2 linked regions of the Canis lupus familiaris genome follow. The protein of the gene in region 1 interacts with the protein of each later gene in a pairwise test. Links are inferred from orthologs where the notes say so. Each region holds a gene or a part of one and is shown on either strand. Other genes may lie near its edges.

Region 1 (3,649 bases):
TCATAGTTTGAACAGAAACTTCAGTGTTTAAATCTCAACGTTCAATAACAAACACTACATATTAGGTTGCTTTGGAATACAAATCACTCGGTTAAATAAATGGGATATAATTTCTAACTTGTGTTAAAAGTGAAGAAATCCTTTTTTATGTGAAGATGTGACCAAAATCAATTGGTCATATTACAGTAGAAATCAAACTCTACTGACACAACACATTTGTTAGAGATTTGTATACAGATATAACAACAGTTGGGAACTAGATGCTCCTTAAGCTTGGGGGTAATGAAAGAAAAAGGCATACTATGGATCAGGCCCCCATTTTTATTACTTGTTTAATAACAATGCCTACTTTATTGAAGAATGTCTCTTCCACTGGAAATACACTTCTGGTTTAATAATGTTAGTGGGGAAAAAAGGCAGACCCACTTTTAAAGAATGATTCATCCTTATTTACCTACATTGACTAGGTATAGAATGACTCTTCATTTTCTGCTCTGAAGATAACCAATTTATTTTTTGAAGTTTTGACTTGTCAACTTATTTTTGATAAGTGATTAAGAAAGATAAATCTTCTGACTTTACAAATAAGAATATGTGAATAAGAATATATATATTTTCTGAGAAGTTACATCTCGTGATCTGACCTATACTTCTGACTTACAATGTAACTAAATTCCTTTAATAACCTGCATTAATTTTAAATTTTAAACTTAAATTGTCCTTGTTATACTGTTCACATTCACTTTATTTCTCATTTTTACATTTCTATAAATACCCAAAAAACAAAACTCCTCAATTTGAAACCAACTTATATTGGAGTTCTGAGGTTAGTCTTTAACTTTTAAGATATTTTGTTAAAATGTAAAAACCCTGAAATTAGAAACAAAAATTTTACAATTTTACAGTATATATCTAATTTATTTAAAAAAATATTCTGAATTGTTTTTATACAAGTAATCAAGTGTTATTTTTTCAAATGAAACTCCTTTATAGGCTAGAAGAGGATGTGTGGTGTTGCCCCATTAAAAGCCAATACAAATATCTTTTTTTTTTTATGCTGGCACTTCAACTATTTCAAAATAGTCATTCGGCAAAATCACATAACCTCTTTCTGATATGTCGTCCTTCTCTTTCTGGAAGTGAACAACCTCCTTTAATTTTTCAAGCTGTCGTTCTTGTCTTCTGCATCTCTGCTGTGCAGTCTTGAGCTTCTTTCGGAGTTTTTCAACTTGTTGTTCTAGCTGATGAATCCTTTTTCTCTGGTGCATTGTATCCTCCACAGTATAGTTGTGGTCACAGAAAACTGAGAGATTATCAGGGGTCTGAAGAGGAGGCATTAGTAATCCAATAGCAGCATCAACCTGGGAAATGGGAGGTGTTAAAGGAGGTGGGGGAAGCTGTTCTTGTGGCTCCAGAAGATCTTCCTTCTACAACAATAATGCAAAGTAGGTTCAAGTTTAGTAACTACAAATAACAATTTAAAAGAACCCCTGTGGAATTTAAGAATGACATTTTTATAAGTTGGACAACCTAGAAGAAAAGGTTAAATTTTTAGAAACACACACTCTTCCAAAACAGGAAGAAATAGAAAGTATAAATAAACCAATCACTAGTAATGAAATTGAAAAGGTAATCAAAAAAGTCCAGGACCAGATGGTGATTCTATCAAACACTTAAAGAGTTAATACCTATTCTCCTCAAAATATTCTAAAAGACAGAAGAGAAAGGAAAGCTTCCAAATACATTCTGTTAGGTGAACAATACCCTAATACCAAAAACAAAGACACTGAAGAAAACTACAGGCCAAAATCCCTGATGAACAAAGATGCAAAAATCCTCAACAAAAATACAGGCATATTTGACAATACATTAAACACTCAACAATACACTAAAAGGATCATTCACCACTATCAGGTGGGATTTATTCCAGGGATGCAAGGATGGTTCAATATTCATAAATCAATATGAAACACTACATTAACAAAGGGTAAAAATCACACGATCATCTCAATAAATGCAGAAAAAGCATTTGACAAAATTCAACATCCTTTCAATGACAAAGTCTCAAAAAAGCTGGCTTAGAGGGAAAATACCTCAAAATAATAAAGGCCATATATGAAAAACCCACAGCTAACATTACACTCAGTAGTGAAAACTGAGAGTTTTTCCTCTAAGATCAAAAGCAAGACAAGATGTCCACTCTTGCTATTTTCATTCAACATAGTACTGTAAGTCCGAGCCATAGCAGTCAGACAAGAAAAAGAAATAAAAGGCATCCAAATTGGTAAGAAAGAAGTAAAACTATCACTATTTGCAGATGACATGATACTATACAAAGAAAATGCTAAAGACTGCAACAAAAAACTATTAGAGGTAATAAGTAAAGTTGCAGGATACAAAATTAATATATGGAAATCAGTTGTGTTTCTATACACTAATAATGAAGTAGCAGGAAGAGAAATTAAGAAAATAATTCCATTTATAATTACACCAAAAAGAATGAAACACCTAGGAATAAATTTAACTGAGGTGAAAGACCTATGCTCTAAAAACTACAGAACACTGATGAAACAAATTGAAGATGACACAAATAAATGGAAAGATATATCATTTTTATGGACTGGAAGAATTAACATTGTTAAAATGTCCATACTACCCAAAGCAATCTATAGGCTCAATGCAATCCCTATGAAAATACCAACAACATTTTTCACAGAACTAGAACAAATAATGTTAAAATTTTGTACAGAACCCACAAAAGACTCCAAACAGCCAAAGCACACTTGAGAAACAACAAAGCGGGAGGTATCATAATCCCAATTTTGAGATATACTACAAAGCTGTAGTAATCAAAAGTGGCACAAAAACAAGACACATAGGTCCATGGAATAGAACAGAAAGCCCAGAAATAAACCCATGCTTATATGGTTAATTAATTAATCTACAACAGAGGAAATAAGAATATCTATTAGGTAAAAGACTCTTCAATAAATGGTGCTGGAGAAACTGTACAGTTACATGAAAAAAAAAAAAAGAAACTGGACTTTTTTTTTTTACACCATATACAACACTAAACTCAAAATGGATTAAAAACTTAAATGGGAGGGACGCCAGGGTAGCTCAGCAGTTGAGCATCTGCCTTTGGCTCAGGGCGTGATCCTGGGATCAAGTCCTACATCAGGCTCCTTGCATGGAGCCTGCCTCTCTCGCTATGTCTCTCATGAATAAATGAAATCTTAAAAAAACAAAACAAAACAAAACAAAAAAACACCAACAAAAACTTAACTGGGAGACCTGAGACCATAAATATCCTAAAAGAAAACATAGTAATTTCTCTGACATCAGCCTTAGAGACATTCTTCTAGATGTGTCTTCTCAGGCAAGGAAAACAAAAGCAAAATAAACAATTGGTACTATACCAAAACAAAAAGCTTTTGCACTGTGCAGGAAACCATCAACAAAATTATAATGCAACCTAGTGCTGGGGTGCCTGGGTGGCTTAGTCAGATAAGTGTCCCACTTTTGATTTTGGCTTAGGTCATGATCTCAAGGCTATGAAGGGGGGCCACATGGGGGGCTCTGTGCTCAGCAGGGGGTGTGCTTGAGATACTCTCTCCTCCTCTGACCTTCCCCCCAGTGCTCCCTCTAA
Region 2 (4,395 bases), on another chromosome or scaffold:
TGAACAATAAAAATATGAAAAGACATTCACTCTTACTGCTAAGATAAGAAATACAAATATATAATGATAGGAAATTAATTTGGGGATGTTCATTAAAGATGTGAATATTGTGACATTACCTCTCACTGAGTTTTTAGTTATTTTCTTGTTTGGATTTCAATGTATTATCTAACCTTTTTTCAATGCATATCATTTTCACAAAATAAAACGTTATTTAAAAACTGCCATTACCCCATTTGTTGTTTGCAGAAAAATTAAGACCAACTGATCAGAGAACAGAATTCAGAACAGAGGGCAGCCCAGGTGGCTTAGCGGTTTAGCGCTGCCTTCAGCCCAGGGCGTGATCCTGGAGACCCGGAATCTAGTCTCACATCAGGCTCTCTGCATGGAGCCTGCTTCTCCCTCTGCCTGTATCTCTGCCTCTCTCTCTCTCTCTCTCTCTCTCTCTCTCTCTCTCCTCTCTCCCTCTCTCTGTGGGTGTCTCTCATGAATAAATGAATAGAATCTTAAAAAAAAAAGAATTCAGAACAGAACCAAGCAGTTTAATTAATATGATAAAGTGGTATTTCAAATAAGTGTGAGACAGAGAGACTATCAAATAAACAGTACAAAAAGCAGCTAGCTAATAAAAATATATTTTAAAAAATATCTGAATCAGTAAGTCATTGCTTACTTCAAAATACTATTTACTGATGGTACAAAATGAAACCACTATAGTACTATCAAAATATAAGAGCATTCATTACAAAAAAGTTTATCTATAATTTTAAATGAAAATAATAAAGTTGCAGAACAATATTTATGGCATAACCTCACTGATTTAAATTCTTGTTTCCATAGTATACGTTTTGATTAAAATTATGAAATGAAAGAATACACACATAGTTAAGTTTTATTCACCATTATATTATCATCCTCTACCACATGTGCCTGGCACAAAAAAATAACCAGTTGAATGACTAAATAAATGACTCTTAGGCATTGTTGGTAGGACTGTAAATTGTGATAACTTTTCTGGGGAGAAGTTTGGCAATATGTGTCAAAGAATAAAATGAACACACATTTTTTTCCAACACTCCCATTTCTAGGAATTCATCTTAGGTCTAATTTTCACAAATGCATATAGTAGGTATCCAGGGATAATTTTTTTATAATGGAAAAAAAGTATATGCTAGTGGAGAAATGGTGTGGAAAGGAGCTGCTCTACAACAGAAATCTGGTTAAATAAGTTACGCCAAATATTTCCATGGAATATGTATCTATTTTAAAATTAGATGTTGATCATTTACCATGAAAATATAGCTACAACTGATAAGTGAGCAGATTACAAAACATATGTTTTATTTAGAGAACAGTTTATATAAACAAGCCAGTGTGTAGATGCACAAAGAAATTTCTTGATGGAAATGTATCAAAATGCTAACAATGGTTATCATTTGGTTGTTAAGATTATGTTTTTTACCATCATTGTAATTTTCTATATTTTTTCTTTACAATGCTAATATATCTTGAAAATTAGAAATAAACAATAAAAGTAAATTTATTTACAAAATAGAAAAGTGTTCTCTAACTTTTTAAAAATATATGACTAAATGACAAAGCACAAATTCTATAAGAAGTAACACAAATGTTAATCAAACTTTAATATTTTTCTTCATTTGAAGTGATAATTCATCGTATTTTATATTTTAATTTATTGCTTGTATTCTATGAGTCGGTTTAGACACTGAATGTAATTAATCAGGCTATTTTATACATTAATATATCAAATCATCTCTATGGGTCTTTTTGCTTCCACAGAAATATCAAGATATCTCCTAACTAAATTTTTAAAAGACTGTAATAGAACCTGTGAATTTTTATTCAAATAAAGATAGGTAATTCTTGTCATTCATAAAAATGGTCTAAATATGTTTCTTACCTTTAATGAAAAGTAAACACTGGTCTTTTGGGTTGTACCAAGGGAGGTGTTCCGTAGCAGAAAAGAATCCTGTAAATAAAAATAACAGATACCTGTTTTTAAACTTCGTTTTACAAAAGTTTATTGACATATTCCTGGACTTGCAAATCATACTTTAGTGTGGCTGGAATATTACAATGTTAGAAGGAAATTGGTGGCAGATGACATTGTAAAGTATAACCTGACAGAGGGTGCACTTTCATCAGCACAAATACCCCCTCCCAGCCTGCTGTTCATGGAATTGAAAACTGCAGCACAGAAGTACAGAGCAAGCCGTCTGCTTTTAAATAATACTACCTAACTTTTGAATGCCTTGTACTTCACCTACAAGTTTGTTGCAAGCATTGAGAAAAGCTAGTGGCAAGTCAGCAGCAAGATTTAGGTATATATTATATGCCAGTTTAAAAAGAGAAATATAGCAAAAATGGTGTAACTGACTCACGGAAACATGAGTTCACAACCCCTGTCGATGGATATAAACCAGGCTTGCCAAACACGATAGCTAGTACTTATTAAAACTGACACGTGAATGCATTCTGCCTGCTTTCTAGCACCTTCCCCCTTTGCCAATAAACGACTCCCCTTTTTTCGCTAGTATAAAAATAAAGCTCAAGGATATTTAGATAAAGAGATTTTTTTTAAAATCACCCATAATCTACCCAATGATGCCATTTGGAGTATTTTCATCCAATTTTTTAGAAACAGATTTTTGTCAAGAGGCTCCTGACAAACCAAACGGGAATTCAGGATGAGATGATGGGAGAAAAATACTCCTCTTCCCTTGTTAGAAACCATGACTAATATTTTTACCTCATATTTAAGCTTGTTTTTGATTTATATAACTATAAAGATAGAATTTTCAGGGGAAATAAACGTTTTCCAACGGTGTGTGCCTCAGCTACCAAGGAGCGTCTGGGAAGGTGGGTGGAGCCTGGAGGGCGGCGGGTGCGTTCGGTCATTCATTAGGCTTAGAGCCTGTCAATCAAACTTGCCCAGCAAATGAGGCGCGATCTAAGGGCACACTGGGAACTAAATTAACGGCAGTTCTGACTGCAAGGGTGGGGGCTGGCGATCTAAACGCTGAAGAGATCTTGAAGTCTTACACTGTGCCATTAGGTGCAGCACGCCTCTGTCCGTCGCAGCTGCAGTGAGAGGCCTTGCCACCTCCACTCTCGCCCAGGCCTCTATTGTGGCTTCCACGTCTGCGCGATCACCGCAGCCCAACCCAGCCCCGCCCTGCGCTGTTACCTTCGCTGCTGCAACCTCCTCAGCCCCAGCCTCTGCCGCTACCCAAGCATACGTGAGTCATTTTCTGCCCATCTCTGAGCGCGCGGTCTCAGTGGTAGTCACCATATTAAGGGGTTTGCAGGTTTGCAAAATGGCAGAAGAGGATCTTAACATGGTCTCGGAACCTGCCGCCCAAAGGGTTACTGAAGAGAAGATGGCTAGCTCGTCTAGTGATTCTGGGGAAGAATCGGACAGCAATAGCTCTAGCAGCAGCACTAGTTGCAGCAGCAGCAGCGGCAGTGGCCGCAGCCGCTTATATAGAAAGAAGAGGGTATCTGGGCCTTCCAGAGGAGCACGGGGGGCTCCGCTGGGTAAAAGTTTTGTGGATCGGCTGCCTCAGGCAGTTAGAAATCGTGTGCAGGCTCTCAGAAATATTCAAGATGAATGTGACAAGGTTGACATCCTGTTCTTAAAGGCAATTCACGATCTCGAAAGAAAATATGCCGAACTCAATAAGCCTCTATACGATCGGCGATTTCAAATAATCAATGCAGAATATGAACCTACAGAAGAAGAATATGAATGGAATTCAGAGGATGAGGTGTTCAGCAGTGATGAGGAGGTGCAGGAAGACAGCCCTATTGAAATGCCTGCCTTAGAAAGTGAGCAGGAAGATGATAACCCTAAGGAAAAACCTCAGGTAAAGGCTGAAGAAAACGAGGTTCCAAAAGAAATTCCTGAGGCAAAGACTGAAGAAAACGCAGAATCTAAAGATTTTCTGGGTATAAAGCCTGAAGTGAAAGAAGAGCCTGAAGTAGTCCCCCAGCAAAATGCAGAAGATCAAAAACAGCCTAAAGCAGCAGAGGCTAAGGCAAAGGCTGCTGTAATAGAGGCTCCTAAAAGAATTTCTGAGGTCAGGCCTAAAGAAAGAGTAAATCTTAAAAGAGCTCGTAAGGGAAAGCCTAAAAAAGAAGATCCTAAAGGCTGACTGTTTTAAAGAATGTCGACAAGCTTGGGCCCATGATTCAGAAGTATGATGCCCCCATTTTGAAGTTCTTGTCAGATATTAGCCTAAAGTTCTCAAAACCTGGCCAGCCTATAAGCTACACGTTTGAATTTTATTTTCTACCTAATCCATACTTCAGAAATGAGATGCTGACCAAGACATATATAATAAAGTCAAAACCAGATCACAACGATCCCTTCTT

Evidence for each region.
Region 2: the proteins of THAP1 (region 1) and FAM133A interact in binary tests that used the Homo sapiens proteins (3 or more experiments, as listed by UniProt). The two-hybrid records come from large-scale screens. The link is inferred for Canis lupus familiaris from reciprocal best matches to the Homo sapiens genes THAP1 and FAM133A.

Annotation. Positions count from the first base shown.
Region 1 is NC_049237.1:23,681,857-23,685,505, reverse strand, and holds part of THAP1 (THAP domain-containing protein 1), read right to left. Parts: intron 1,428-3,649; coding exon 1,053-1,427; 3' UTR 1-1,052. UniProt on the Homo sapiens protein: DNA-binding transcription regulator that regulates endothelial cell proliferation and G1/S cell-cycle progression.
Region 2 is NC_049260.1:69,481,845-69,486,239, reverse strand, and holds the start of FAM133A (protein FAM133A), read right to left. Parts: upstream 2,901-4,395; 5' UTR 2,771-2,900; intron 1,991-2,770; 5' UTR 1,922-1,990; intron 1-1,921.